Xenopus tropicalis: one gene and its partners. The protein of the gene in region 3 interacts with the protein of the main gene of each other region in a biochemical or structural test. Links are inferred from orthologs where the notes say so. Each region holds a gene or a part of one and is shown on either strand. Other genes may lie near its edges. The genes, in order: ikbkg, skp1, nfkbia and ikbkb.

Region 1 (7,371 bases), about 84 Mb from region 3:
ATTAGGCCCTCCACTATTCATTAAACCACTGCCTGGTTGCTAGATTAAATTGGGCCCTAGCAACCAGACAGCTGCTGAAATTCCAGAGCTGCTGTACAAAAAGCTAAATAATTCAAACAATGCAAATAATAAAAAAAAGGCCAATTGCAAAACATCTCAGTATAGCACCCTTACATCATACTAAGTTAATTTTAAGGAGAACAACACCTTTAATTGTTCTGAGTTATTAACCATTGACTACAGTTAGTTATAATTCCCCTTTAAGATCTGCTGTTTTAATTTCCTTTGCATTCTTTACACCATGAGCTGCTGCTGGGCTCATAGGGGTTTTGTGACACATAGCAGAACTTTACTCAGTAACATTAAGTTACCTGGGGATTGGTTTACACATATAGCAGAAGCAGAGACCCATACAGCCCCCTACAGGTTCAATGAATATTGACTGCCTGAGGCTTCTTCCAGCAGAAATTTTCCATCTCTTGTGTACCTAAATATTTCCTTCTCCAGGCAAGAATCTGTCTATGGAGTATAACTAGTGGCAATGATGGTTATATGGTAGTATCTAAGTAATAACCTCTATTAACTTTTTCAGTCTATGCATGGTGCTAGCCAGGCCTGCAGTGCAACCTACCTTGGTGTGCTTGGCTTGCTGCATGCTGACCTTGATATGTGTGTCATATTCCTGGAAGAGCGTGTGATATGCAACCTGAAGCTGTGCCAGTTTCCTCCTGTTGGGAGAGTAAAGTTAGGAGGATGCCCACCCACCCAGGCAGCTGCTGAGCAGCCAAATGAAACAAACTAGGTTGGCCTCTAAGTTCCCAGCATGCTTATAATGGGGCCAGCTTATAACTAAACCAGCTCCTAGGCATAACTAGGCCAGCTTGTGATAGCAGTATCCTTTGAACCAGGCCAGGCAAAATCCTCTGTGCACCCATATCTAAGCCAGATTATGACTACTGAGCGCTTAGGAGGATCGCTCACTCGCAGGTACTCCAGTTCAGTGCAGTTTTCTGCTAAAAGCGCATCGGCCAGGCATATCAGGTAAGTGATTACAATCATTTTTGAAAGAAAAACAGCCCCCTATGAAGCAGTCTACAGTTGGCCTTAGAAGAGGGATAAATTCTTAAACCTGACTCAAACAGCAACTGGACCAATCCCCGTCTACTTTTAGTACTATACTTTTAGTATATTATAGAAAGGCCTATTCATTAGCCAAAAAACAACTACTCTGTGAGACTACAATTTTATTATTTTTTTACTTTTTATTACTTATCTTTCTATGTAGACCCTCTATCATATTCATGCCTTCCTTTCAAACCACTGCCTGGTTGCTAGGTTAAATTTGACCCTAGCAACCAGAAAGCGGCTGAACAAAAGGTGTTAATTCAAAAACTGCTAAATAAAAAATTAAGATCAAATGCAAATCGTTTGAGAATATCACTCTAAACGACAGGGGTCCCCAACCTTTCTTACTCGTGAGCGAAAGTCAAATGTAAAAAGATTGAGAGCAATACAAGCATCATAAAAGTTAATGGACATGCCAAAAAGGGCTAAGATTGGCTATTAGGTAGTCTCTATGCACACCCTGAGCTTATAGGAGGCTTTATTTGGTAGAAAGTCTTGTTTTTATTCAACCAAAACTTGCCACCTGGTTTGGGGGCACTCGGAGCAACATCCAGGGGGTTGGTGAGCAACATGTTGCTCACGAGCCACTGGTTGGGGATTATTGCACTACACCATACTAAATGTTAATTCAAAAGGTGAACAACCCCTTTAATATGTAGCGCTGCATTTTTTCACTTGCTAAAAAGGCAGCAACCCAGGCCAGGGTAGCTTAAGATCCCCAGTTAGTTGAACCCCTAATGACCCCCATGGGATCTTATAACCAGGACAGCTACTAACCCTCCATGCTAGCTGATAACCCTGAAGCAATAGCTAACAATCCTGACTCTTACTTCTCGTCTGTGGCATTTTGTCTTTCCATTTTTAACGCTGTTTCCAAATTCTGTACTTGCATCATTCGCTGATCAAGCTGCACAACCTGTTGCTTCACTTGGGCTTCCCAGCCCTTTTTCTCCTCCAGGGCACTACGGAGGCTGCAAAGAGAAATCAAACACTTGGCACACACAAGCTGTTTCCAAGAGTATAGACCAATCACATCTCCTATGGAGCAAACCATTCTCACATTATGCACCAGGGTAACCTGCACAGCACTGCTAAATTTAAAGGGACAGTGACACCTTTTTCTGGTTACAGTGCCTTCTCAGCATGAGACAGAAATGGCACCATAGAGAGGGCCAACCAAGAGGCATGAATGGTCAGTGCCACAGGGTTGAATCAAGTCCGGCTCAAGTACGCATGAGCAACAGTTTAACGGATAAGTAAACCTTTTAAATAAGTTGATGTAAATTTGATGAGAATGCTATTCTAAGCACTAAAACTACTTCATGTTTGGAAAGTGACCAGCAGGTGGTGCTGTTTAAAAACTGCATTCATATTAACAGTACTTTTAACCCTCAATATATTGGGAAAAAAATAACATGTAAATTACAAAATTCATCTCATCATTTTTACATCAACTAATTTTAAAAGTTTTACTTATACTTTCAAAAGACATTGCCCTAGATTTTTTGACCCATCCTCTTCTCCTGGGTGACCAACGCAGGCATCCATCACTGTTTCCCATGGGGTACTAACCTGTCCTCTACCTTTCTCTTTTCCTGCAGGCAGATCTCCAGACTTGTCTGACTCTCTTTCAGCTCCCCCAATAGAGAGGTCACCTGGGCTTTTACTGAATTCCTCTCCTCAGACAGTTGCTGCAAGATCAAAACCAAGATATTGTTAATTCTGCTTAATATGACATTTACCTATAACATAATTATATCAATCCTAATACTGTATATAGAGCAGAGGATCTGATACTGATGTTTATGAGGCTGGGGGGCAAAAAATACCTTGGAAACTTGCAGCTGGCCCATGGAATGCCAGCTGGACAACCATATATAAAAACAAATTATTTTTTTTCATCATTCTGGCTGCAGATCATGTCCCTAAACCAGTGTTTCTTATTCTTTTTCTCAGGGGACCCAAATTAGGTTCAAACAAAAATAAATTAATCATTTACAGTTGTAATAGTTTCATCGTAACATCTTTGAAACAGTATAACCCATTATATTATTCTCACATGGTACCTGTACATATATCATGACTGTAATACCACCAGGCCCAGACTGGGGTTCAAAATAGGCCCTGGAATTTAAAGTACACAGAGACCCAAACAGCCCCCCCAGGCCCAATAAATAGTGAATGTCTATGGCATCTTACAGCAGCCCCTCTGGCATTTGCCTGAATCCACAGATTGCCTGTTTAGGCCTGAATAACACTGTAGAATTCTCACCTCCATCTGCAGTTGCAAACTTTGCAGTTGCTTTTGAGATTCCTCTCCTTTTTCAACCACCTGGCGCCTAAGCTTAGATACTTCCTCTTGTAGATCTGCAATCTGACGCAGAAACTGAGTATTCCTGCATTGGGAAGATATATTTACAGTGCAGCCTGTGAGCAAACCAGTGTACGATGTCCCTTATATTATACATGGAAAAAGGCGCTTGCGAGGGGATATGATTACTCTGTACAAGTACATTAGAGGGGATTACAGGCAGATAGGTAATGTTCTTTTTCCCATAAAAACCATCAGTGCACCAGAGGCACAGTAGGTGGTTTTTCATGCTGAGGGCAGTGAGGTTGGGGAATGCCCTTCCTACAGATGTGGTAATGGCAGATTCTGTTAATGCTTTTAAGAGGGGCCTGGATGAGTTCTTGGACAAGCATAGTACCCAAGGCTATTGTGATACTAATATCTACAGTTAGTATTTATGTTGGTATATATGGTTTATGTATGCGAGTATAAAGACAGGTCAGTATGGGTTTGTGTGTTGCTGGGTTTACTTAGAAGGGTTGAACTTGATGGACCCTGGTCTTTTTTCAACCCTATGTAACTACATGTAGCTACCCACCTGGCTTCAGCGTCCTGCAGTTTCTTCTGGAATTCCTGCTCAGTTCTAGAGTTCCTGGAATAAACACACAATTTATAAACTGCTTTGCCAGTTCATACACATAGCAACTTGTTACATTTTTTACGTCAGGCTCACCGGTCCACAGTTCCTTGCATGATTTCATTTTCCATACAAACTTCCTTGTTGCCATTTTCTTTCTGTAGAAAGTGAAAGAGAATAATGATAAACCATGGGACCAGGTCTCTGGAAAGTTGTTAAACAATGATGGGGCTCTTATAAAAAAAAAATGTGTTTTCATGATTTTAACTGCAGGACACCAATTAAATCAAAGTACAACAGGCCTCTACTTGTCAACCAATCAGGACCATCACCTTAATCCCTGTACTTGAACAAATGCAGGGCGGGAAAATAGAAGTGATCAGAGGTCTGTGTATCTCACCTGCTTGTTTCGGGATGGCCCCTCTTCATCTGGCACAGTCTGCCTGATTGTTTCACAGATACTGTGGGTCAGTGTTTCACATGAGGACAAAGAGCTCCCTGGGGTGGCGTAATCCTAACGACAGACACAGCGGAGCAGTCACACAGGGGCCAAGCCGAGGAGTCAGGCAGAGCAAACTTTCTAACTGGGCAGAGTATGTGATGAGCCTAGCTGTCTCGGATGGATCCAAATGCAAAGGGAGAAATCCTATAGATCGGGGTCCCCAACTTTTTTCACCAGTGAGCAACATTCTAATGTTACAAAAGCTGGAGAGCAACACATGCAAGCAAAAAGTTCCAGGGGTACCAAACATGGGTTGTGATTGTCTAGTGGTATCCCCTATGCAAACTGGCAGCCTACAGGAGGCTCTGTTTGGCGGTTTTGTTGCTTGTGAGCCACTGGTTGGGAAATCACTGCTATAGAAAGTAACAAGAGAATGCCCAATAGATAAAAAGGGTGTGGGGGGGGGGGGGGTGGTTGGTGCCTGATGACTAAAGTCTCTTCCTTTCTACCCCAGGCCAGTGCTCCACTTCTTAAAAAAAAAAAAAAAAAAAAAAAAAAACACACTAGCCCAGGGAACTTTCCATCAGAGTACTGTTATGCAATCTTCCTTCACTCTCCCAGTGCATTATGAGTCTAGCTGGCATGAGAATCTATGGGTCTAGCAGGACAAGGTAATGCAGCGGTGTAACTAGAAATTTCTGAGTATTTCTCTCTGTGGCAACTTTATGTTGCTAGGGAAACTTCTAACCCCCGGGCGGGGGCAGCTGTGCACATAGAAAAGGCCAACCCTATATTGCACCATAAAAGATTTTAATGTGCAACCCAGGCCATCGGCAGGGTAGCCAGGAAGTTACTGGCCAGTCTACTGCCTGCCTTCAGCGGCTGCTATACTGTAGCTTGATCCTCCTCCATACATTCTGCCACTTTAGCCCTAGATCGAAGCTTCAGGAAAAAGTATAATAAATGGTGTATGGGTTTCAGTGTACTCCATAGAAATGTAAGAGTTAGATTAATAGATATTCAGTTACCAGTGAGAGCAGTAAGTACCTGTTCCTCATACGCTTTCCTTGGGGATCTTCGGTCAGTCAGAATGGTATCCTCCAGCCGCCCCTGCTCATTCTCTGTGCTCCCTCGACTCTTCTCTTCTCTCACCTCTGCCAGCTGCTTCATGGCTTCCTCCAGCTGCGCCTGCAGGGAGTTTCGCTCATTGGTAAGCCTCAGCACCAGGTCCCGCGCCTCACCAAACTTGTATGTGATGAACTCTCTCTCCTTTCTCTGCGAATCCTGAAACTCCAGCATGTCGCCATGTCCTTTGCGTAACATCATGTTGCTCTGTTCTAGAGCAGCTGTCGTGAAGGCGGGGGGACAAATGATAAAGAAATTCACTTAAAGGGGTTGTTCACCTTTAAAATTAACTTTAAACATGATGTAGACGTTGATATTCTGAGGCAATTTGCAATTGGTTTTTCCTTTTTTTGTTGTTTGTGGTTTTCCAGTTATTTAGCTTTTTGTTCTGCAGCTCTCGAGTTTGACAATTCAGCAGCTATCTGGTTGCTATGGTCTTGTTTACCTTAGCAACCAGGCAGTGGTTTTAATGAGAGAACCAGCCATTTAAGGCACATAAGAACTATGATTACTTACTTACCCTAGCAGTGACAACATAAAGGGACAGTAGTGCCAATAATTTAATTCTGTATGCATTTAAATGCATGATACAGTTACCTTACCTTCCATTGGTAACAACTGTGTGTTTGCATCATATAGGCCACTGCTGTCCAGTTTATTACATGTAGTGGGTCAGTCATATCTCCTACAGCATGTTGGGGGGAGGGGGCAGGTTAAATTAAAATGATGATGTCATTAAGTAGTGCCTGTGGGGCCATAAAAATCCTTTGGAGAGTTACATCTAGCCTGTGATCCTCAAGTTGAACAGCACTGATATAGATTATACAGATAAATATACCCCTAAGTGTATTGGCCTATCATGCTGTGTAAAAAGTGGAGTGAAGCATTACCGGTGATGTTGCCCAGGGCAACCATTAAGCAATTAGATTTTAACAGTAGCAAAGCATCTGATTGGCTGCTATGAGCAACATCACCTGTAATGTCTTACTCTACTTTTTACACAACATGATAAATATACCCCTTAGCCACGAGGGCTGCCATTCAAGTTCTAGTAGGGCTTTAACAACCACATTTGCATAGAGCCTTGTTCCCTAACTTCAGGCCCCCTGATCCTGCTGGGCTACCCCCCCCAGCATTAGAGCTTGGCATATATCAGTGCTATATACATATAGAATACTATTACTACTTATCTTTTCTCATGTTTGAAGGGGTTGTTCCCCTTAAAATAAACATGTAGTATGAAGTAGAGCTTGATATTCTGAGACAATTCACAATTGGTCTTCACTTTTTCCCTGCAGTTTTTGAATTATTTAGCTTTTTGTTCAGCAGCTCTGCAGTGTGGAATTTCAACAGCAATCTAGTTGCTATGGTTCAAATAACCTTAGCAACCAGGCAGGCATCTTACATATATATACATATATATATATATATACATATATATATATATATATATATATATATATATATATATATATATATATATATATATATCAGACTGGAAGTTCTGAAGGACACCATATCCCAGAATTTGATTACACTTACCAGTACACTCAAAGCAGGGAAGTCCTTGGCTACTAACCTCTCAGGTCATGGTTTTCTGCCCATATACGTTGAAAGGCTTCGTTACTGGTCAGTTCAGGAGGAAGAACTTCAGGCTTCCCCAGGGATGTGTCCCCTGGGCCCCCCTCACATGGGTTGTATTCAGCGGCAGAGCTCTCTTTGGGCTGCACCATTTCCGCTGTCTGCGTTCGC
Region 2 (8,105 bases), on a different chromosome or scaffold from region 3:
AGATATTAGTACCACAATAGCCTTGGATATTCTGCTTGTTCAAGAACTCACCCAGGGCCCTCTTATAGGCATTAACAGAGTCTGCCATTACCACATCACTAGGAAGGGCATTCCCCAACCTCACTGCCCTCACCGTGAAAAACCACCTACGCTGCTTCAAATGGAAGCTCCGTTCCTCTAATCTAAAGGGGGGGCCTCTGGTGCGTGGATCGTTTTTTCCCATAAAAACAAACATCCCCTATCTGCCTATAATCCCCTCTAATGTACTTGTACAGAGTAATCATGTCCCCTCGCAAACTCAGAGGCATATTTATTAACAATGGAGACATAGTAACCAATCAGCAAATTAAATTTGGCCACATAAGTTAGAAAAAGTAAAGAGCTGATAGGGGTGTATTTGCCCGTGGAAACCAAAGTTTAGAATGGTACAATATACCCAGTCAGATAAGAAATCATATTCCCTTCATGCAATGCAGAGGCAAGTCAATGTAAATAATTAGCTTTAAGTTTATAGGGTTTTTTTCCCTATGGTTTGAAAGACTGGTCTGTCTGAGGGAGGAAAAACAAGGACATCAGCTGAGGCAGCATATAGGCAAAAGCCTTTTCAGCCTTCTTTTGAATCAGCTACAAGCTAGAAAAAGTTTAAGCTTACCAAAAAAACTAAGTAACTTAATGTCAACAACTATTTAAATATTTGTCTTTTTTTTTTTTTACCCAAACTTACTTTTAAAACAGACTTCATTCATTCTGCACTGAGTGATAGTCAGTGAAAGTTGTTTTTTACATAAATCTGAGGTTGGAATAATGCAACAAATGCCCTTTACACATGAATGTATCAAACAAATGAACAAATGATACTGCAACTGAAAATGAAATTTCATTTAATGACAATGCAGTGAACCAAAAAACCTTTTAAAGTCAGTTTATTAGGAAAGTCCAAACCTTCTTTTCCTTACAGATTTCGCAAGGAACACCAAATATGAAACCAGGAATGAAGCACATAAGGAGAAGGAAAGGTATAATTACTGGGGGTGCCTTATCTGAGACCCTGGGTACTTTTGTAGGAGCACCATGTCAACTTCTAGCCTATTACACTGGGATGGTGCAGTTTCCAGCAACCAGAAACACTGGCCTGGAGTCTCACGTAAGCAATTATAATCAATGGGGGGGGGGGGGGGGGGGGGGGGGGGAGTAAATAACATTTTTGCACTTCCCAATAATTATACCTTTCCGCTCCTATTAAGGATGTGAGAGAACAGAAAAAGAAATATGACTTAACAAATGGGCTCTTGCACTAACCTATTTAGCTCTTTGTTGCAGTAAATGTTTAGCAGTGCTACAGTCTTCTCTTGCACAGAAAAGCAACCAAGGAATTGTCTCAAAACTATGCTTGAGCATCTATTGCACTAAGGAAATGTAAATCATGCTACCTCTCTAAGCTTTTAGAGGGAAAGGTAAACCACTAAAGTCTCCCTGTGACATTCAGAGCTGGGACACCACACAAGATAAATACTCGCACATGAACTTGAGACACGTTCGTTAAAGTATGAAATCAGTGTCTGTATGCATAGAAGGTGAACTTTATATAAAAACAAAAATTCACAACCTCATAACTGCCTGAGTGGCCAATTACACTAAACAGAGAAGAGTCTGTCACATACATGTTCCAGGCAGATTATTTTGCCATACACACAAAACAGCACACATTGTGATTTGCTGCTGAAGTTGCCTTGTCAGAGAAGCCAAAATCTAGGAAATGTAAAGTTCTGTCAAAACACAGTTCTGCAAGAACAGGAGTAGACTACTGTGATGCCATCTTTCATCTTCAAAGCACGCAGCTAACAGGTTTATTATTGTTTTAAAGGAAATATCACACAAGATTACAATGGTTAAAACACGGCTTGAAGATCTGAATTACTCAATAAGAAAAAAAAAAAAAAATGTCAGACACAACACATGCAGCAAAACATCCTCCTGCTAATTTAAGCTGCTGAATTGTCTAGTATAAACAGAGCAGTGCAACTAGTTGATTTGGAACGACTTGTACAGTGTTACAGTGGTAACAGGTATGCAACTTCACTTTTCTTCACACCACTGATTCTCTTTGCGTACCTAAAAGGAAAATAGCATAAAAGAGGTTCATTAATAAATACTCTTGTTGGAGTGGAGATATTGGCTGACACACTTGTAAAAGGAAATAAACTTAAGCGTATAAATATATACCTGAGCTTCTTCCTCCTCAGTAAAGTCGTTTTTGATGTTGAAGGTCTTTCGAATTTCTTCTGGCGTTTTTCCTTTAATCATGTTTGCAACTGTCTTGCAGGTGACATCAAGCAATCCTTTGATATCCAAATAGTTGGCAGCCTGAAGATAAAAAAAAAAAAAAAAAAAAGCAAAATCAAACCAGCCCCCAATTTTTTTTTGACCAGCAAGAACTCAAACCCACCCCTGATTTGCTCACACTCCCTTGTATTTGATATGGTACCAATAGACTGCAGAAAAGCTTATGAATTGGCTTAGAAGCAATATATGTTTATGACAATGACACAAAAGTTATGCAGCTCAATCAGTGCCACCAAGAATGTAGCATCCTTTAGGAGGAACTGGACAAACTGGGAGACTGGCCTGCTAAGTGGCATTCCAAAATATGCAAGGAGCTGGGGTGACTTGTGGAAAATAAACTTAGCTTTAGCAAGCAATGCCAGTCAGCGGAAGGAAGAGCCAGCAAGGTATACAGACTCAGAGGGGAAGTACATATTCCCACTTTAGAAAACACTGGCAAAGGCCCCATCTAGAATATGCAGTGCAGTATTGGTCTCAAATCCTTAAATGGATATTAATGAAATAGTAGCTCTTTTTGGACTCGCTCTAAATTAATGAAGGGTATTTTATGAGGAAAAGTTATCATACGTGCTTTAAGTGGCGTATAAGCACTACATATGAATATGCAAGTGTAATTTATGTATATAGGATTGAGATGAAAAAAAAAAAAATAGTTTCAGCCATTTTCAGTTTGGAAGTTAAATCTATGCTGACTGAGGAATATATGGACATGTGTATGTAAATTTTTAAAAATCTTTTATGAATTAGTGTATAAATTTCTAGTAACTGTTGTGTTATGTGTTAACAAGTAAAATGGCAGCCACGTTTTAATGTATGAATAAAATTATGTGTGTTAAAACTATATTGCTCAGAAGCAACATGCAGATGCCATGTGGATGCCTTTATTGAAGCCACTAAGGACAAAATTATGCACAACGTTTCATATATGTGGGCTCACCCTTACCTCTCAAGTGCAGGAGAACAAGCACACTTTGTTGGAACATGTTAATGGCAAGGTTTTTAAATATCAACTCTCCTACCTCTTTCGGACAAAAACACAAATAATTACTGGCTGTGTTGTGTGTGCACTACCTTCAGGCTGTGTTGTGTGTGCAATACCTTCAGACTGTGTGGTACTTTAAGTTGCAGGTTCCCTTTAAGGTTATTAATACTACTAAGTACAAGTACTAGAAATACACTTATGTAATTCTAATGGGTTCTATAAAAGCTGTTGGGTTTTTTGGTGAGCATGCCTCACCAAAATCAGTTCAAATAGTGTTCCCTGATCCACTTTTAAAAACTCTTGGTCCCACACAGGGATATCATCTGTTCTCTTCTCTTTGTTTTCATCGTCTTCGGGTGGAGGGGGATCATCTTTATGATGTGTACACCACTGAATGACCTGATGAAAATAAAAGTACATAGGTATTTATCTTTATGATTTATACAACTGACTGCATTTGTTGGCCAGGTCCTGAATCCAAGACAATGTGGTACTGCTAAACTTAAGATATGTTCAATTTCATCATTTTGTTGTTTATATGTTAATATAATTCAAGCTAGTAAAAAAAAAAAAAAAAAAAAAAGTAAATCTTGTAACAACCTACACTTGAAGAGCTAAACCAAAAATAGGAGCAATGTCCTCTACTGCCTGAATTAGAGAGCAAGTGTTTCTAGGTCTGAAACAGTATACATCATAACTCAAGAATATGAAACCCCAAACAGCAGGATGAAGTTCCTAATAACCAATAGTTCAGTTTTATTTTTTTACTTGCCAATATGCCTTAAAACCCTGGCATTTATAAGTAGTTCTTCTTCTGGCAGTGATAAGCAAATATAAATAATGTGTGTGTGTGTGTGTGTGTAGGGGGGGGGGAGGCTGTTGCAACTTTTTAATTAACACAATTCTGAATCTGGTACAATTTTTTTGTCCTAATTACATTGCATTATATCCCTGCAGCAAACCAACACCTCTAAAAAAAAAAAAAACAATCTCTAATCTGCATCCAGTATTCTAGTATGGGTATACGTAAAACCACTACCTAAATAGCACTTACTTTTTTAAGGATTGCAGCATTAACATTGGGAAGTGGCACAGGGTCATCATCACCTTCATCATCCATACCCAGATCTGTTTAAAAACATTTAATTGATAACTGTGTCTTGCCAAAAAAATGTAAAAAAAAACCCAAGATAATTTAGACAGAAAGGCAATGTTCTAAAACTATAGTCAAATAAGAGATTTCTCAAGAATTTACACAAAATAAATTTAAACACAACAGAAATATTACAACCAGTTCCTCTGAGGACAATTTTTTTTCAGCAAGACTGCTACTTATTTGTTATATTGGGATCACTGCTGTTATGAGTAGTTTGAAACGCTGTGTACCTGTTATGTAGTGAACAGCACCAAAACTTTTTTTTTTTTTAATAAAAAGCCCTTATTCCATCATTTCCAAATCCTGGATTGTACAAACAATGTTTTCTAAAGTACCCTGTGTACCTGTCTCTTATCAGTGTAAAAGGAGCTACTACCTAAAAAGATAATCCTCCACAAACCCAAGAAATTTCCCAATTTGAAAGTGGATGACAAAATGATTGGAATTACCCCTGACATTTCAATTGCAAATGTCTGTTCACCCAGGTGCACTCAAAGGTCATGCAAATGCTACATAGAAGAAAAATTCCCAGCAATATTGTTTCTGTAAAGGGATTGCTTTTGGAGAGAATCCACTCAATTGCCCAATGTGCCTTTACACCAACACTTTCAAAGCTAGGAGAATAAAAACAAATGAAGACCTGCACACCAGAGGACAAAATTATAAAGAATACATATTCAAAGAATTTTTTTTTAAAAAGTACCTTCCAACATAGTTTTAATTGTTACTGACTGCTTTGCAATTTCAACATCCACTTCAAAAATCTCTCCATCAGAACTCTGCAGCTTTATAGAAGGCATCTGAAAAACAAAAACACATTAATCAACACAAACAGTACTGCTTAGTGAAGTTACTGCAAGCAAAACAGAAAGAAAATCAATTGGTACTTTCAATGAGAGATGATCAGGAAGGCAGCTGTGAAACTCAAGATGCTGCACTGAAGCACATTTAAGCATGGTGAGCAGGAGAGACATGGGAACAAAATGGCAGCAAGCACAGCAAGTGCACTGCAGGCCATTGTAGGCAAGTAGAATCACAGAGTGGCTAACATGGCAACCACCCCCCCAGTGACTATACCTTTCCTTCTGCTTTAATGAAATGCAAACATCATGTTTCATGCCCTGGTTGTCAGTAAGGCAGGGCCAATAAAAATAATCATCTATACAACAGCCCTGGTGCCTGGTTGCTTCAGTCTCTGCCCAAGACCCACACCAACTGTGCAATATACAGTGGTCTGGCACGGCCTAATGAGCAAAGGGAAGAAGCTGCAGCTAGTAGGAATAAGAAGGGGCCTGCCAACTGTTGCCAGCACCCTGCCCTCCACTACCAGGAAGAGAATAAGGAGCTAAAAGCTTTGGGTCTCATCCGGAATGTGCAATTACCGGTACTCTGCAATTTTCAGAGAGCTGTGCAGGAATTGGGAAAATGCACTAAATTCTAACAGCTGTCAACCTGGCACTGCTCCTTTAACAGCCGACTGCAAATGGCTGGACAGCTGGAGATGGATGAACCCTTGTTAACACTGGCCACCATTAGTGTGCACGCAGTACACAAAGGGAAAGTGTCTCTGGCATATATGATGTGGGAAAGACTTACTGAGCAGGTATAACTATGGAAGCAGAACAAAGTAATTACCAACAAAGGGTGTCATTTTACTGCTGCAGTATGACTTTGCCAATAGCAGCCAGGATAATGGCAATTGCCAAGCTCCAAATCTGCATTAGAGGCCATTTGCCCATCCTGCCCAGAAAAAGAATCTGTACATCAATAGTTGACATACAGCCAATTACAGAGAGGACATTTGCTATCCCTGAGCCATGCTTTTCACTCAGCCTCATTTTAAACAAAGGCTTTATGAATTAAAATAACAGAAGTTTGGCCTAGACAGCAACATACAGAGCAGAGTGACTAACAGCACAAGGCAATAGGAATTACCATATTCTGTTAAAAAGAGGACTGGTTATTAAATATCTTAGAGGGGACAGAGTGTACTTGAAATCTTAATTGTGTAGTTAAGCACATTTTTAATCTTACAGGTATGGGATCTAGATTAAGGAGACTCATTATCAAGAAAGCTTTTGGAAATGCCATTTTATTATTGTTTGACCAATTTCCTTTTGCTCTATAATAGTGGATATTTCAAAACGGTGACTGATCCCCTACAAGTTCCATGTGAGAGTCCACTGTGCCCAGGTAAACAAATATACTGTTTAATTTATTATAACAAATATAATGGTTTATAAGGAGTGGGTCCAGCCTACATGGACTTGTCAGACGAGAATGGCATCAAAGTGACAATGCAGTCTTTGCCATGTAGGATTTTCAACCCTGCCGAATATATATCTAATTTTGTTTGGGTATGGATGGGCTGGGTCAGCAGGTGTTAAGACAATAGTTGACTGAAAAGTTTTTCATATACTTTTTCAGGCACTCTACATATTGTAGCCTTCACCATTCCCAGCTACAGTCTGTTGATCTCAATGGTGGCCAATAAAAAGTGCAACAATTTTTTTGCACTAAAAGGAAGTAAACTGCAGGTAAAAATCAGTCCCTGCGTACTAATGTATAATGAAGCAGTAAAATACTTAATAAATAATATAAAAGTCAGTACGGGAATTAAATTTGGCATAGTTGGCCAGCTTTCAGTATATTGCTAAAAGGGGAGGTCATTTCTTAGTAGCTTAATGCACAGAATGTCTTAATGTCCTATATCTATACCTATATCTATCTCTCTCTCTCTCTGTATCTCTCTCTCTCTCTGTATCTCTCTCTCTCTCTGTATCTCTCTCTCTCTCTGTATCTCTCTATATATTGAGAATATCAATATCTTTGGTCTGAAACCTGCATGTCACCACAAAAGCTCATAGCTCAAGCAGTGACCGGCATGTTTTCCTCCAGCTGTGTCATGATCAAAGGTAGCTGCACAAGCAAATGATTGGGCAACTTTAGATTTCACTGCCTAGGGTCTGTATGTTTTGACTAGAAGACTAAAGGAAATCATCAATTATTATATATAACCAATTATTTTACAGGAACTGCAGTTTTTGCTACAAAGGAAGCTACCAATCACCTGCAAGGGAATGCAGACATCAGAAACCACACTCTTGGGGCCATCTTGGCCCCAGTTAAGTTGATAGGCATGACTCCTGATACCTGTATTCTGTGCCAGTCATTAAGGGGGGGTAAGTGATTTTCAATACAGTAGTTCAGGATGGAATCCCAAGGACAACATGATGGGTGAAACCATTATGCACTGCAGGTAAATGTAATGATTTCATCCCATGAGCATGGGTATCCCTGCAGCGGTCAGCTGACATCCCCCCACCAATTAAAAGCGAGCCCCTGTGCTGTAGCCAAGTAACACTCAACAGGAAAGCTAATGAGCCCGCACACATTTTTTAAAGTTGTTGAAAGCAGAAAGCGCTTGTTTGAGACTGATGAGGGATATCTGCAAAGTTTAATAGCCTATAAACTACAAATTAGAAAATCACAGTAAAATGGATAATATCTTTTAAAAAAAAAACAACAAAGGAAAACTATAGTTCTAGTTTCCCGCAAAGTAACCCTCTGCCCTCCGGAGTTCCTGGTCGTAATTTCCAAATGAAGGGGGAGGGGGGGGTCTGG
Region 3 (8,166 bases):
AAATAATGTATTCTATTACAAATGAAACCACTAAGACCCTTGAAGGGGGTGGTTTATTATAACTTGTTATTTGGCACTTAAAAAAATCAATACTTATCTATCTGCAATACTGCAATCTATCCTGCAGTTTCAAATGTGCCCAGCAGGGACCTTTGAAGAAGAATTAGATATCAGGGGATCTCCTGTTAAACCCAACGTGTTGCCAAATTACTGCTGGGATTTTTTTAAAGTGGCCAAACTTCAGTAAAATCCCCGTGTCCTATTAACGTGCTGCAATCTGTGAATCACATAATTTCACTTTCCGATGTTATGCCCCATTAAGTACATTTGCTGGAGGAAAGTTAAGTTCTTTAGGGGGAACATCAGAGGTACTTTTACACTGCACAGAGTCATACATGGCATTACCAAAAGCAGCAGAGGAGAACTACAGCTTCTATTAGGCTTTGCCAGCCGTACTGGAACTGGCATGTTTATTAAGATAGAAGGATCTGTCGGTTAGTCCTAGAATCTGTCCTCCACCTGCAAATTCCCTAAGCAGCTTTATCTAAAGTCCCTGATTGAAAGTGAGGTTTAATGAGCTTTAAGGAACGTTATATCTGCATACCAAATCCTAATCATGGGGAAATCCCAGTCACTGGGCAGTAATATAACAAAGACATTCTGTGTTTTGCATAACAAAGGCAAAACAATCCAAGCACCCAAACCCAAAGTCTGATGCCAAATTTCAGTACTGTATAGGGTGCACTAAGCTGTTAATATGTTACTACAGATTTTGTTTACAATATTTTAATATGGACAGATATGTATGACTATAAGTAAGTGGGCACTACAGCAGAATCTATACCACTATATAGCCCAACACCAAAAGCCACCAGAAAGATTATAGGGTTCATCACAGCCCTGGATGCAAGTACAAGAGCAATAAGGGACACAAAACTCCTTCTTGGTCATGGGGTTTGCAGTATTTAGGGGAGTTTTGGCACCAAATGCCGCCCCAATGTGGCCTAAGGGATGCTGCACCTACTCTCTTAAGGGTATATTTATTATACTGTGTAAGCCAACATTCGATATTCGGTGTATGTATAGTGGATCGACGAAGTGACCAATATCACAAAAAACCTTGGATATTGGTCGTCTTGCCAATCGGGCAGGGTAAAATATTTTGATCGGGCACTGTTGAAGCGCCTGAGCATAAGCATACGTTAAGGGCTGAATCGTCAAATAGGGGTAGAATTCTTATTGTTTTTGCCAATGGTCGCAGGAAGGTTGATAACTGTAACGTGTATGGCCACCTTAACTTGTAGGTGACCATTAAAATCTAATTGCTTATTAAATGCTATATGCAACATCACAGCTGATTTTGGCTTACACACTATAATATATATGCCCCTTGTGTCAGGGGGGCACATCCAGCACCGGATTTCTAAATGACGCGCCCCGAGGCCGCCCCCATTTGGCGCCCCCTACCCGCCGTGCGAGCGCGCATGCGCAAACCACCTCCTCCTCCCCTGCCGCCGCGCTAATGCGCATGCGCCAAAGTTAAAACTCCCATACAGAGCAGTGGGGAGAGGTCCCCATTGCTCCGTATGGGAGCAAAATTTTGAAATTTGCGTGCGGCGGGGCAGCATGCCGCCCCTATGTTTATGCCGCCCTAGGCCCGGGCCTGGGCACATCACTAGTGCAGAGCGCACAATAGTATAGTCAAAGTATTCCATGATGTTTTTGGTTTACTACTTTTATTCCCACACAAGAATTACGGACAGATAACCTTCGGCAAATGGCAATTAAGTTATTTCACCTAAGCAAGGTACCTGAAACTATTATCGTTATAAAAATAATAACTATTAAATTCATACAATCTCATTTCATCCCAACAATAATGCACAAAGGGGCTTATGTTTTTTTTAAAGCAAATGCAAACTGCAATTAGGATTGCCACCTGGAGGTTATTATACTGGCCTGACCAGTTAAAATACTGCAATATCCCAATGTTAACTGGGTAGAGAGATGAAAATTTAGGAAGACCTGTATTTCTTTCCAGTGGGAAAGCCTTACTACAATGCACAAAAGAGTGCAAAATTCCATGTTTCACCCACAATGCAACGTTATTCCCCAGAATCCCAGTGTAATCTTGCTGCTTATGACGCAATTTTTGCAGCCTTTTGGGGAACATTGCGCGAAAGTTGCATTGTTTGTAAACCCCTCGTTTCTGGAAGTTGCTGAAATAAAACAAAATGGCATTAGCATCAATCATTAGGTGCAAGTCGGTTGTGTGTGTGGGTTAAGGTGCAAAATGCAAATGGCTCCCCGGACGTTGAGCTCTTATGTATTTAGCATAATATCAATAGTCTGTCAGACGAAGGTATATTTAACGCATATAAATGCCGAGTATGATGTGGGGAACTAATGTGTATTTTTGCCCGAATCCCCCCAGTGTGTCCCAGGAATGGTGAGTGTGCTGAGAGGAATGTACATGGAGTAGCTGCGCACGTCTGAAAAAAGGGAATTTCTGAGCCTTGTACATATTTCTGCGCTCTTCCTTTTATTGTACCACAGAACTGGCTCCGTCAGGTTCATTGTGTTCCTATACTGACTTATTCTTGGAATTTCCCAGAGTACATAATAGTTCACAAGTAGGAAACTGAGCTCGGCTCCACCCAGAAAAAACCCCGGCTGTATATGTAAAAGTAGCCTGCTGGGGGAGGGAGCTGCCAGATCGCTACCAGAAGTCGCTCTGATCGGATGGGATTAGTATAGAGGAGGCTACAGCTACAGAACTTCACTATCGCAACTGGGATTCTACAGTGTCTTCTAAGCTATTTTGCGGGGAAGCTCAACAACCGGCCGCCGCCATGTCTGTGCCTTTTCACGATTACCAAGGGAATATGATGGAGGGAGAAGCTAGGGATCTCCGGAAGGACAAACTGCTGCAGGACGATCGCATTGATAGCGGCCTGGACTCCCTGAAGGAGGAGGAATACACGGCTATCATTACTGACCTCAGCAACATGAGAATGGAGGGCCCGCCGGACACATCGAACTATGAGCCGGAGCCATGGAAGAAAGAGGTCAACGAAGATGGAGACACGTAAGTGATAGAGAATGGGTTCGTTATATGGCTGGGGATTGTGCTCAGTATCTACTGATATTGTATAGGGGCGATGAACCTTAGTATTAGTACATCTAAAACCATTACATCTGCCTTGCACAGTGTATATACTGATAAAGGGATAGTACTCTATAGTGCTGCACTAATATATATATATATATAACAGGGACACCTAGGTTTGGGGCAGTGTTTAGTGTAGGATATGTAGATATTTACTAATGCATGACTTCTTTATGGTGAATGCACAGTTAGGTGCATGGGGCAGGCTACACTGCATAACACTGCAATTTATTGTGCAGCTTTTTCATGCAACCATAAACATGCAGTATTAGTAAGTTGTGCAAATAGTTAAAAACCCTTGTGCTTTTAATGCTTTTTTTATATCATGCATTGGTATTTGCAAGCATGCAGCAACGCCGGGCAGCTGTTAGATGGCTTGGTGCATGTTTGTTCTTGGTAGGGGAATTTTTTTGTTGGTGCAGAAGAGACGCCATATCTGTCTGGGTTTTCCCTTCTTCGTGTGAGCTGGAGGGAGGGGGGGTGGGAGGACACCTTGTTCTCTGACTTGCTGCCTCAGAGGGGTGGGGGCTGGCAGGCACCCAGGGGCAGGACTCTGGCTTTGGAAAGTCCCTGGCCAGTAGCCAGGAACACAACTGCACACACACACACTCTCACACTCACAGCAGAAAGCGGAAAACAACAGACAGATCTAGAGAAGAAAAAATCCCCAGACTTACACAATTGCATAGTTGGCTGGGGGAGGGGGAAGTACACACTTGTGTCACCACTGACTAGTATTGCAGCTCACCGACATGCCGCTATGATGAAATAGGTTCATTATGAATTATTATTTCCTATTGCTTGGCAGTTTCTAAATTTATGAAGTTTTATTCACCTCGATCTTTCCCACACACTGAACCTTAACACCACTTCACTTACTGGTTCCCAAAGGGGAGGGGGGGGTACATTTTCTACTTCTGAATGATGAAATAGTAAATACAGAAATGACATTTTGTAATAAGATGCTAAGATTGGAAAGCTAGTTTGTCATTTCCCATAAACCTGCTAGTTCATCTTTTCTTTTTTTATGGTTAAATGACACAAATTTGCTTCTCTATTTTAACATGTCCTTTTTATGTTCCCTTCTAGGTTTCTCCATTTGGCAATTATCCATGAAGAGAAAACCCTGGTGAAGGAGGCAATCCAACGTTCATACAGGGACCATTTTTACCTGAACAAGCAGAATAATCTGCACCAGGTAATTTACTTTTTATTTTTTTTCTAAACCTTGTAAAAACTTTATTTCTAGATTAGCTTGTCATGTGCCACCATTGTCGGTTAGGGCAGGGCTGTCCAACTGGAGGCCCGTGGGCCGGATGTGGCCCTCCAAAGGAATTTTAACATATAAAGTATAATAGAGGGCCAGTTTGTGGAATAATTGACCTATGACATGTAAGTTGGCCAGCACTTAAAATATTAATAGTCAGTGCACTCATAGCATGTTCATGAGGGATAGAATATAGTACAAGCTTATTCTGCAAGTTCAATTTTGTGTTTAATGAGAATGAATTTACTGATTTTTCTTTTTTTTTTTAATGTCTTTTCTGCAGACAGCACTACATCTGGCAGTAATCACCGAACAACAAGACATCAGCCAGTCACTTCTCCAGGCTGGTTGTGATCCAGAAATCCAAGACTTCTGTGGCAACACCGCCTTGCACATTGCCTGCAAGCAGGGCTCGCTTCGGGGAGTTGGGGTCATTTTCCAGTATTGTGAGAAACAACTGCCAGCACTTCTGCAATCTGTGAACTATGATGGTATGTATCAAACTTAATCTATAAACCTTTAGACGTGTGTTGTTGTGCTACTTGGCAAATTAGAATTAGAACTGCCTTGCTAATATCTTTCTTTCCGATGCAGGTCACACGTGCCTCCACCTGGCATCGATCCATGGCTATCTTGCAATTGTGGAAAATCTCATTAATAAGGGGGCTGATATAAATGCCCAGGTCAGTATTCCCCCTACTTCACTTGGCTACATACTGATGTTTCTTCCTGCCATGTCTATTGGATTCAATTTTGCCTCTAGATCTAAGAGAAATTTCTGTTTCCCTCACCACAGGAGCCTTGCAATGGTCGCACTGTGCTGCATATGGCCGTGGACCTGCAGAACTACGACCTGATGAAACTGCTGCTTAAGCACGGAGCAGATGTAAACAGAGTCACGTACCAAGGCTACTCTCCGTGCCAGCTCACATGGGGCAGAAATAACATGCTGATTCAACAACAGCTGGTTGAAGTGACACACAAGAATTTGCAGTACCTTCCAGAGAGTGAAGAGGAAGACAGTTCTGACTCCGAATATGAATATAATGATGATGAGGTGAGACCTAGAGACGAGTTCATCATAGTAATGGCATGGGAATGAATGGCAGTTAAACCAGTTTCAAGCACATGTAATAATTAGCCTAATGTTAAAGAATTTTTAATAATCTGTTGGGTTGTGCAGGCCCTAGCAGTTTGGGCAGCTAAAATAAAATAAAGCATTTAGGGTGAGGCAGGGATGAGATTTGGCAGGGGCTACGGAGACTGATAAAACCATAAACCCATCCATTTTTAGATTAGTGATCATCTTCTTCCTTTTAAGTTAGAAAAAAGTGGGTTCAGTAGCAACCCCTGAGTTATGTTTTGGTCCAACATGTAACTCTCTTGCAATAAAGTTGTCGCTTAATAAGGTTTATGTATAACAATTTTTGGCTCTAAATAGTTTTCTTTCTCTCTTTTGTCTAACAGCTTATGTATGACGACTGCATCATAGGGGGGAGGCCGCTGCATTAGACTGCTGTGTGTGAACTAAAAAAAAGAAACTATAAGGACAGACTCTCATTACTAGAGGACAGCACTGGAGCCAGTGACTTCGGGGTAGAAAAGGATCCTCTGAAAGTTGAGGCGTGGAGGTGCTTGTGCTGTTCCATGGTGACCGATGTTCTACACGAGAAGCTTCCTGTGTTACATATCCTGCCGCATCAAGACCACAGCTATGAATTAAAGAGCTTATTCCTTGAGCAGATAAAGAGAGGATGCTGCAGAAGGAACTCTAATCTGTCATTAACATCATTGTGAGGCAGGGCGACCAATACCATGATACTGACAATGCCCTTCAATGCCAACATGAAATAAATGGCTCATAAATACACTGTGTTGAGGACCTGACTAATTATAGCCAGAGAGCAGATTGTTAAAATAAACTACACACTGTATATAGTGTAAATAAAGTACAGAGATTATTTTTATATGCAAAGTTTATATTTTATATAAAAAAAAGAAAAGAAAAAAAATAAATAAATAATTGTTTCCAAATCTACTCTGCAGATTATTTTTTTTTCCTGCTCCCATCCAAGACTCAAAGAACAGAAAACTTGATATCTTTACTAGGATAATAGGCTCAAAGTAAAATCTTGTGGAATAAAAATAAGATCTACTGAGCAAGGCCCACTTTACCTCTTATAAATGTGCAACCTCCTGCCTGTAGGAGTTGCAGTACTTTCTAGGCCTTTTTTAAGATGTAGCACCCCACCCCCACCCTTTGGAGGTCTTTGCATTGGTCAGGGCTGCCTTAGCTACTTCCAAGGTTAAAGCTATTGAAAAACACTGGTATTTTTAATTCATTGTTCCAAAAATATCAAGCACATAAGATCTAAAAACTCTCTCCTAATCTCAACCAACTTGACCTTTAACCTTTCAGGTGTATCTAAGAATCAAATAGGCATTCCCCCAATTATACCTGGCCTTACCCTACCGCTGCTTCAAGCCCACTTAAGGGTGCCAGCCCCAAGTTTGGGAATCACTATTCTATATGATATTTGGAAGGGAATCTCTTTTAGCGTAGAAAGAGTTGTCTCACCTTAATGTTGCTGGATAAACTTCAGTATAATCCTGGATAATCCTATATATTATCAAGGCCAAAAGCATTTGGAGACAGTATTCCAGAAACATAAGTCTTGAATGCTCTGTGTGGGTCTTAATGGCACTCCTCTGTGTATCCTGTGTTATTCAAAAAACATAAGGGATGGAACCTCAAGCAATACTATCTGGTAACAGGTTCCTAAAGTCTACAGGGCCAGTGGTTCTTGGGATGACATCTCAATATCTTTAAATAGCCTTTGGCAATGGTTCCCAAATTGTAGGGCTGGCTTCTATAGGCTGACCCAATCCTTGGCTGCAGGGAACCCAGCCTAAAGGCCAATTAGGGTAAGACTTGGATAGCTATTGATCTTCTACACACACCCTAAAAGACCAGATTGAAGGTCACTTGAGAGATTTAGGTGAACGTTTATTTGCTGCCTTAGATGTTATTGAAACTGAATGAAGTAATGTTTTCCAATACCTGTCACTTTATTATGTGCCATGATCCATTGCTGGATTTCAAATGGGGACTAGAACCAGAAAATTCTGAAACCACTACAAAAATGCAGTGAAAGTGTTTTGGAGTGAACACATCTAGGGTTATATTTATTAACACAGAAGACAAACATAACTGCTGATGTTGCCCAAGGCAACCAATCAGCACTTAGATTTGAACAGTCACATACAAGTTAGAAAACAAAAACAAAGATCTGATTGGTTGCTATTACCACCTATGATGTTTTTTTCCCAATAAATACAACATCTAATGTGCTTGATATTCTTGGAACTATGGAACAATGACTGAAATTCCAATGTTTTTCAAGATCTTTAACCTTAGTATGAGCTAAAGCAGTCCTGACTATTGCATAATTCTCCAAGGGGCTGAGAATCCTCCCTTCTAATGTTCAATTGCTGATTAATATTGGCAAGGAAAAGTTCCATGGATCTCTTCCATAATTGGTAACAGCAAGCAGTGTCGGACTGAGATGCCAGGGGCCCACCAGAAAACCTTGGACCATAGGCCCACTCTCTAATCCCTCAACCTCTTTATTATCCAAGTCTCTTTTCTCTATCCTTCCATTTATTTTTCCCATACATAAATAGGGAATGACCATGCAATTGGCCAAATAGATAGAAGCAAGAGGGCCCA
Region 4 (7,371 bases), on a different chromosome or scaffold from region 3:
CAGAGACCACATCAGGGAGGGAAGGCAGGAAGGGTTATATGATAATTTTATGTTATCCCTGAGTTATTCTGAATGCAGCTAGGTGCCAGTGATGGCTAAATTACCCTTTAAAGGAGCAGTTCCGTGTATGTAGCTCTGCAAAAGCAAAAGTCACTGACTTAGAGGTTAGAGAGCTGAAAGTAGAGTTCTGGCCATTATGTTAGACATCTGTCCACTCTAGCCTTTATAGATTACATTTTTGCCTGACTAACTACATAAGAAATATTTTTTATTTTGCGCAGTCTGTTTTACCCAGTTTAATTTTTACTCCGAGCAGTTTATTGAAGGTGTTTGTTGTAAAATCATGTGATCTGCTGCAACATATTGGCTCCCTGCTTGATTAAAGTTGTTCTGTGCATTCTCTCTGCACAATTCTTGTGCTCCGGCATTCAACGGGTACCTAGTTTAGGTAATCCCTTGTACTATGTACAGTCCAGCAGGGATACCTGACAGCAGAGTGGCCCCTAAGGGGGTATATGTTACTGGTGAGATTATAAAATACATATAAACAGAAAGGCAATATTCATTTGGGTGATAGTCTCCCTTTAAAATGTCCTTCTTCTCAGAACACAAGAACAGCATCAATCTCCACAGGATACAAATTGAATTTTACTAAAATATATTAAACCCAAGCATATAAATTCTAATAAAGACCAATCATATTTCCTGATTTAAATTATTCTTTACTGTGTAAAATTATTCCAGTTTTTCCTTACTTCTTACCATATTGAATTGGATAGCTATGTTACCAAAGTTGTTAACAAGTTATTTAAAAAAAAATTGTTTATGTATAAAGAGATTATAAAAAAAAAGTCCTTCCACTGTTCCATTATGTATGTGATTATTTTTTTAATTCCATCTTGTTTCTTTTCTCCTATATATCCCATTCATCCTCACTTCAGTTTACCTCGTCCTACCATCTCTTCTGTATACCCAAGGGCTGCACTTACCTTTTCTTCACATACTCTTGGGCTAGACTGGCAGAGAGGGCAGGAGGCTGGGAAAGCAGTTGGCTTGGGCCAGGCATTCGAGATGTGCCCAAGCTATCTGGGCTACCACTCACAGGGCCACGGACTTTGCTCTGTGGGGATCAGTAACACAGAGGATGTATAAATAACAGTTTGTGCACCACAGAGCCTAATTCCTATTTAATTCTGGTAAGAGCTCAAAGGCACACAGTCATGAAAACAGTGGGTTTCAGACTGGATCACTGACGGCTATAATCTGATGACGAAGCTTGTCTATAACAAGATAATCAACACAATAAACAATTATGTAGCACACAGAGGATCCGATTCATAAACATAGGTGCTAATTGCACCAGAGCAGTTACCCATAGCATCAAATTAGCAATTAGTCTTCTGCAAGTTAGCCTACAAAACCAAAGATTGGTTGTTCTGTGTAACTGCAACACAGATTTGTTTTAATTGTATTTGGCCAGGGAATGTCTATTCTAACACTACTCCATTACCCAATGTGTGAGCATAAGGTTCCCGTGGTCTTGTAATATATATATATATACATACACACACACTGCTTACACAAGCAATCTTTAGCAGGTTCCACAGCTCCTGCTGTCTCTTCTCTTGCCTCTTTACCACCATTTTTTCATCTTCTCTCATTAGGTTCATCACCTCTTTCACCTTTGGGGATAGTTCTAGGGCTTTGTGCTTGCACGCCACAGTCTTACTGCAGGCAGATGGGAAAGGAGTCAGTAAAGCCGGCATGAAATCATGGAGATGAGAAGGATAAAAGGGAGCTGCCACAGACCTGAGTTGGTCATATATAAGGATGACTCTCTTCTCGAAGCTCTGGATGGCTTGAATTAGGAGGCGCACCATTTCATTGCTGTCTCCTGCTGTCCTTTGATCTACAGGTAAAAAAAATACATTGGTGCTGGGTTCCTAGAAATAAATTTACGTTTACGTTTAGAGCAAGTCAGATCTTCTCGGTAAGTCCAATATCCTTACTACATGTCACATGGAGTTGAGCATGTTGAAACTACACTTCCTGAGTAACTAGCAGGTAGCCTAAATACCATGATAAATTAACAGAGTCAGGTTTCTGGTGCTAAACCGCAAGAAGGGTTATCTAGCCCATCGTATTCCCGTCATATTTAGTAATACAGACTCTTTGGCCCTAGAGCCAAATACAACTAGTAAGGGGATTATTTACCCATATTTGCAACAATAACTGCTTACCTCTAGGTCTCTCCCGTAACCGCCGATATAAATCTTTAGCCTGTTCTTCTCTGGCAATAAAAGTAGAAAACAATGTTTTATTTAGACCGTCATAGAGAACAGCCAACCCCCAACACAATTTACAGAACACTTCATATGATGACATGAAAGTACAATGGCTGAACAGTTTCCACCTCACTCACAGGTCATCCAGTGTCCCTCGGTGTTTCCTGCCTAATGGATTTCTCTGCAGATCTACACTGTCTGTTTGTAAAGCCATCATTTTATCCACAAGAGCCTGCACTTCCCTCTCCTACAAAAGAACAAAAATGTAAAGAACTTAAAACAAAGGAAAATCCAACACACAGTGGTTGAAAAGGTAGGTAACCTTGTTTCGCAGCAATGAGCAATTGATTTCTGGGCTTCTCTCTTGCCTTATGATCTGGCAGGGGGTAAAAGTTGGGGTCTGACATTAAGAGCTGACTGGGGTTTACTACTACACTGATCTCCAGGAAGCTCAATAAGAACTCTCTTTAGGTTCCAAAGCTAAAGCCCTCCTTTACCCCATAAAGATCAATGCAATGGGATATACTGCATTTTGGGAAAAGAGCAGCCCATAACCAAACAACCTGGATACATTTAAACAATGCAGACTGCGGATATTTGGGTGCATTTGTAATTAGACCAAATTTGTAATTACAATACACAAGCCCAAACCGCAAATGGTTGCTATGGGGGAAAAAAGCAGTGCACTGGTTTTGCCCACGGTGCCCCTTTAAGTAATGGAGCCCGAGACCCTAGGGTACATATATTCACATAGCACGTTTAATTTATGGAGTGGGCTTTCGAGTATCATTATCCCATTTCATCTCATTCCTTACCCTGCCGCACAGTTCCACTGTTTGCTCCGTCTCTCTCCAGGCTGACAGGAGCTTTTCAGAAGCTGCGAGAAAGAAACATTGTTCATATCATTAACAGGTAATGTAAAGGTGAACGGCTCCTTTAATAGATATCATTGATGATAAGGTGATGTGTGTGAAGTAGGAACCCATATAAAGGCTCAAAATACAAGGGCTAGACCCTGGCCTACTAAGTCTCATCCTGCAGACTGTATGGCTAAAAGCAACAGTAATAAAGAGAAATTTGCTCTTTTATGAATATGCTATTTCACAATAGTAACACTGCATGGTGCAGATTTTGCCCTGTTCACATTTCACAAGTTCAATATATAAAAACTGGCATTTCTAGACATATTCATTTTTAGGGTTTAGTTCTCCTTTAAATCTGCATATAACAGAACGGGTACCTTCCGTATCCTAAGCAGAGCTTTAATTTTATCTTAATGCTGTAAACTAAGAGGCCATAGTTTGATATGCACAGATCATTCCTCTGTGTAAAACTGTATTTATACAGAAGACTGGAAGCTCCCATACTGCTTGCTGTTAATACAGAAAGCCATTTATGATGACTATGAATGCTGTTTAGTGGTTGTCTAAAGAAAAAAAAAAAAAGCTGTGCATAATAACAGTGTGTCAGAGGTTACAGCAAAGTCAATAAATCACTATAGTTCTCTTTACTAAGCAATAAAAGTCGACAGAGGGCCCAGCCAGTAACTTACTGATTCCAAACTCCATCTGTTCACTGTATTTTTCTAGATCAATCTGGATACTGTTCCGGAAGAAATCCAGTTTGGCCTTTAGCTGCTCAAACTCAGAAGTCATGAGGTTCTTCTTTTTGGAAAGTTCAGTATTGTATCGCAGCAGGTTTACCCTACATAACATAGAGATATGCCCTCAGCACTTATGCATAATACATGGAGAAACACACATCTGCCACACATACTGTCTGTCCCACCCACACGCAGAGCTCTCATACTCACATAAAGGTACGCTGCCCATGAAGCAGACGGGCACAATCCTCTTTCATCGCTCGTATTGTCTGCCAGGTCTGCCCCCACACGCGGCGAAGGTGGGTGTAAGTGAGGGGCCGCTTGGGATCCTGCACTGGAATAGAATTAAGTGCCACAGTGTCACATCACCATCAACAAACCACAAACCTCAGGATTAGACAGATGTATAAACCCTGAAGGCATAGGCAAACGTCTGAGTCCTCAGGCAAGAGGAATATACATATACATGTATATCCCTTGCCATTACAAGCCAAATATCAGTGGCACTCACATATAACGGTGACACTCTCGGGATGTGCCGGCAGTGATATCTGGGGCTCATATACAGTCTTCCGGTTATCAAATAGAAATATCAGATCACCCTCGCCCTGGCGCCCATCATTGACCTGTAGACAAAAGCAAATAAGACACTTATTGATTAAAATAATTCCAGTTTATAGACAACAAAGATATTGGCCTATGACCCTCAAGCAGTTACAACTCCCACCAGCAGCCAGCATCTTATATGGCAAGGTCAGATCTAGAATGCAAGAACAACTGCAGGTGGAATGAACTAGAACAGTTGAGGGTTTTACTACACTTGCTGTACTGAAAGTAATATGAATATTTGAATCTGTATATTGCACTTAAGAGCTGTAATTAAGCAGTGAAACATATGCCTATATGGTCACTCTCTGAAGTCAAAAAGACAATGGTTTTCCTTTCATTAACAGTTCCACCAGATACTGTGACCTGCAAAGAAAGGCTGCTTACAGAAATATAATTTAAAGTTGCATTTTAAGTTGAACCACACTAGCCTTGTGTCACATGACACAAAACATTTTTTTTGCCATATTTGTGCTTTCATAATGTCATTTTGCGGTGAGCATGAGAAGACTCTTACCGTGCAGTCTACCACAAACTGGGTTAGAGGCTGGGCAGGATTAAGGGCCAATCCTGATGCCTGCAATAGTTCCTGCTCTTCCTCAGGAATCCCTGTGTCTTGCTCCAGGCGACTCTTCAGATTCTGCAGGTTTTCATTCTCTGACACCGGGTAAGTGTGCACCTTGCCAGACACCATGTTCAGTACAGACAACAGCTGGGGGGATATATACACATGTACATCAATATATCAGCAATAACATATATGTTTATAAAAACCTGTGATATATATCCTTATAAGTAGTGCTTAGTGAGGTTATCATATATAAATCACCCATAGCCCATTGAAACGTGTATTAAAAAATAAGCAATCCCCTGCTTCAACATTTAGGAACATTAGAAACCACCTTACATGGTCTGTGGTCCTTATATCTTAAGAGAGGGTGTTGTATAAACATATATGCAGGTCTATCCTGTTGGTTCTGGTGCTTTTCTTGAAACTTTGGGGCAGTTCTCTCATCCAGAGTATCTGCCTTCACCTTTTTTGCTGTTTATTGCTGGGTGGTACGTATAGGTTTGATTTTTGTTTTGATATTGTGTACATATCTTATGAATGTTGAATTATTGTTATACAATAATTTTATATAAAGCTTTTCAACTGCAATACCACCTTTGTATGGCTCTTTTTAGTGTGCAACATCTTTATGTGGTTTATATCAATGCCATTTAATTTACCAGACATCTGGTGGATCCTTCACACATTGGGAACTTGCAGGGGACAGAGTAACTTAATTGTATTCATTTAGACCTTGGCCTACCCACTGTATGTAATTGACACTGGAAAGACTGCTTGGGAGGTGTAAAGGCTATGAAGATAGAAGCTGGACCTAACCACTACTAGTCCTGTGAAGTGATGCCTTTACCCCAGGGGTGATTCCTGTGTCTCTGGAATGTATTCAGAGAAAGTACACCCTTATCTTTAACTGATATATGAAAGTAGAGAATGATAAAAAATAAAACCATATATAGAATGACAAGGCTAAAACAGAAAACAAGAAACAGAAGAAAGGACATGACAGCAGACATATTGATTTCCCACCAAAAAATTACAGATTCTGTGTTGTGTTCTTTACTGTAAATGTTGCTTGTACACCCAAAGCTTCATACCGACACTTACCTTAAGGCTTAGGATGGAATCCAAGGCCTGGAAACAACCAACATTAGGGTTCTGTGGATCTGTGCCTCTCTGTCTCTGGTGCCACATTAGCATGCATTGTAGCCAGTGTTCCAACTTGCCAGCCAGCTTGCTAAAACAAAAGAAATATTTAATTCCAATTTATTGCATGTGCAAGTAGCGAACATCTTGAGCTAGACAGCCTGCCACAAACTTGAAACATGGACTAATATGGTCTGACAGTTGTAAGGCTCTGGGATTCATCATAGAGCTAAATTGAAAACCAGTATTTTTGACACCCAATCAAGCCAATGATCATATCACACGGTGAGTCACTCAGACTCATTAAGGTATTGATTAGGCAAACTACAGTCATCTTGCAACCAAGAGCCTCATTGCCATGGATGTTGTCCACAGAATATTCAACTGTGTCAAAATGATATCTGCCCACATTTATGTATCAAACAGTATGTATGGGTATTGTTTTGGGCTCTAACACAAGCCAATGGGCTGGCTCAACTGGGCACTTTAAGACTAGAACAAAACTAAGCTAAACTATAAACATCCAATGAGAATTTTGGTACCTGTTCAGTATGAAACCAAATGAGACTGATTTATCTAGACATGATCAAAAGAAAGTGGTAGACAATTGGCACCCTACAGTAGCAATACATGGCACCGTGACACAGGTATAAACTGAATACTGCTGACAACATGGCTCAACATTTGCCATGGTTTATGTTTTTACATACTCTGAACAAGATAAAAGGTTGGATTGGTTCCCCTCTGCCCTCTCTCTCTCCATCTTTGCACTTTCCTGTTCTCTTTTGCTTTTACATGTATTAAAAGAAGGCTTATGTAATATCTAAAATAGTTACAAAACATCATATTTTCTGATTGTTTGTTTTTAACATAACTTAAAGGGAGCAAAAGAGAAGAAAAAAAAACATAAAGTGTACAGGCAATGGCAGTATTTAGGTAGAAGTGCCTCAATACTGTGTGTATGTGATCAACCCTGGAGGCAAGGACATCGTACCTGTTCAGATGATTGGGTGTTGGTAAGACACTGGAGAACTTTACTGCTCCCATCAGGTCCTCGTATACCACAATGTGCTCATTGCTTTTCTCTCGCACTTTTCCATGCCTAGAGTCCAAAGGAACATACAGGTCACTATTACTTGGAAATACTGTAATTTGGATTACCGTGC

What was found.
Region 1: of the proteins of nfkbia (region 3) and ikbkg, one has a biochemical effect on the other in vitro, tested with the Homo sapiens proteins (15 studies listed by BioGRID and IntAct). The link is inferred for Xenopus tropicalis from reciprocal best matches to the Homo sapiens genes NFKBIA and IKBKG.
Region 2: the proteins of nfkbia (region 3) and skp1 form a complex in vitro, tested with the Homo sapiens proteins (3 studies listed by BioGRID, with this or other methods). The link is inferred for Xenopus tropicalis from reciprocal best matches to the Homo sapiens genes NFKBIA and SKP1.
Region 4: of the proteins of nfkbia (region 3) and ikbkb, one has a biochemical effect on the other in vitro, tested with the Homo sapiens proteins (58 studies listed by BioGRID and IntAct, with this or other methods). The link is inferred for Xenopus tropicalis from reciprocal best matches to the Homo sapiens genes NFKBIA and IKBKB.

Annotation. Positions count from the first base shown.
Region 1 is NC_030684.2:25,690,705-25,698,075, reverse strand, and holds part of ikbkg (NF-kappa-B essential modulator), read right to left. Parts: coding exon 7,199-7,371; intron 5,841-7,198; coding exon 5,542-5,840; intron 4,567-5,541; coding exon 4,453-4,566; intron 4,211-4,452; coding exon 4,149-4,210; intron 4,068-4,148; coding exon 4,014-4,067; intron 3,522-4,013; coding exon 3,398-3,521; intron 2,817-3,397; coding exon 2,698-2,816; intron 2,097-2,697; coding exon 1,956-2,096; intron 729-1,955; coding exon 632-728; intron 1-631. UniProt on the Homo sapiens protein: Regulatory subunit of the IKK core complex which phosphorylates inhibitors of NF-kappa-B thus leading to the dissociation of the inhibitor/NF-kappa-B complex and ultimately the degradation of the inhibitor.
Region 2 is NC_030679.2:26,566,065-26,574,169, reverse strand, and holds skp1 (S-phase kinase-associated protein 1), read right to left. Parts: upstream 5,284-8,105; 5' UTR 5,282-5,283; coding exon 5,185-5,281; intron 4,454-5,184; coding exon 4,380-4,453; intron 3,725-4,379; coding exon 3,581-3,724; intron 2,365-3,580; coding exon 2,224-2,364; intron 2,113-2,223; coding exon 2,077-2,112; 3' UTR 1,818-2,076; downstream 1-1,817. UniProt on the Homo sapiens protein: Essential component of the SCF (SKP1-CUL1-F-box protein) ubiquitin ligase complex, which mediates the ubiquitination of proteins involved in cell cycle progression, signal transduction and transcription.
Region 3 is NC_030684.2:109,509,261-109,517,426, reverse strand, and holds nfkbia (NF-kappa-B inhibitor alpha), read left to right. Parts: upstream 1-2,732; 5' UTR 2,733-2,852; coding exon 2,853-3,088; intron 3,089-4,258; coding exon 4,259-4,367; intron 4,368-4,719; coding exon 4,720-4,927; intron 4,928-5,030; coding exon 5,031-5,119; intron 5,120-5,232; coding exon 5,233-5,493; intron 5,494-5,903; coding exon 5,904-5,948; 3' UTR 5,949-6,470; downstream 6,471-8,166. UniProt on the Homo sapiens protein: Inhibits the activity of dimeric NF-kappa-B/REL complexes by trapping REL (RELA/p65 and NFKB1/p50) dimers in the cytoplasm by masking their nuclear localization signals.
Region 4 is NC_030679.2:130,602,942-130,610,312, reverse strand, and holds part of ikbkb (inhibitor of nuclear factor kappa-B kinase subunit beta), read right to left. Parts: intron 7,308-7,371; coding exon 7,200-7,307; intron 6,297-7,199; coding exon 6,167-6,296; intron 5,207-6,166; coding exon 5,012-5,206; intron 4,515-5,011; coding exon 4,400-4,514; intron 4,223-4,399; coding exon 4,099-4,222; intron 3,990-4,098; coding exon 3,838-3,989; intron 3,163-3,837; coding exon 3,101-3,162; intron 2,533-3,100; coding exon 2,423-2,532; intron 2,291-2,422; coding exon 2,241-2,290; intron 1,910-2,240; coding exon 1,810-1,909; intron 1,729-1,809; coding exon 1,581-1,728; intron 1,121-1,580; coding exon 990-1,120; intron 1-989.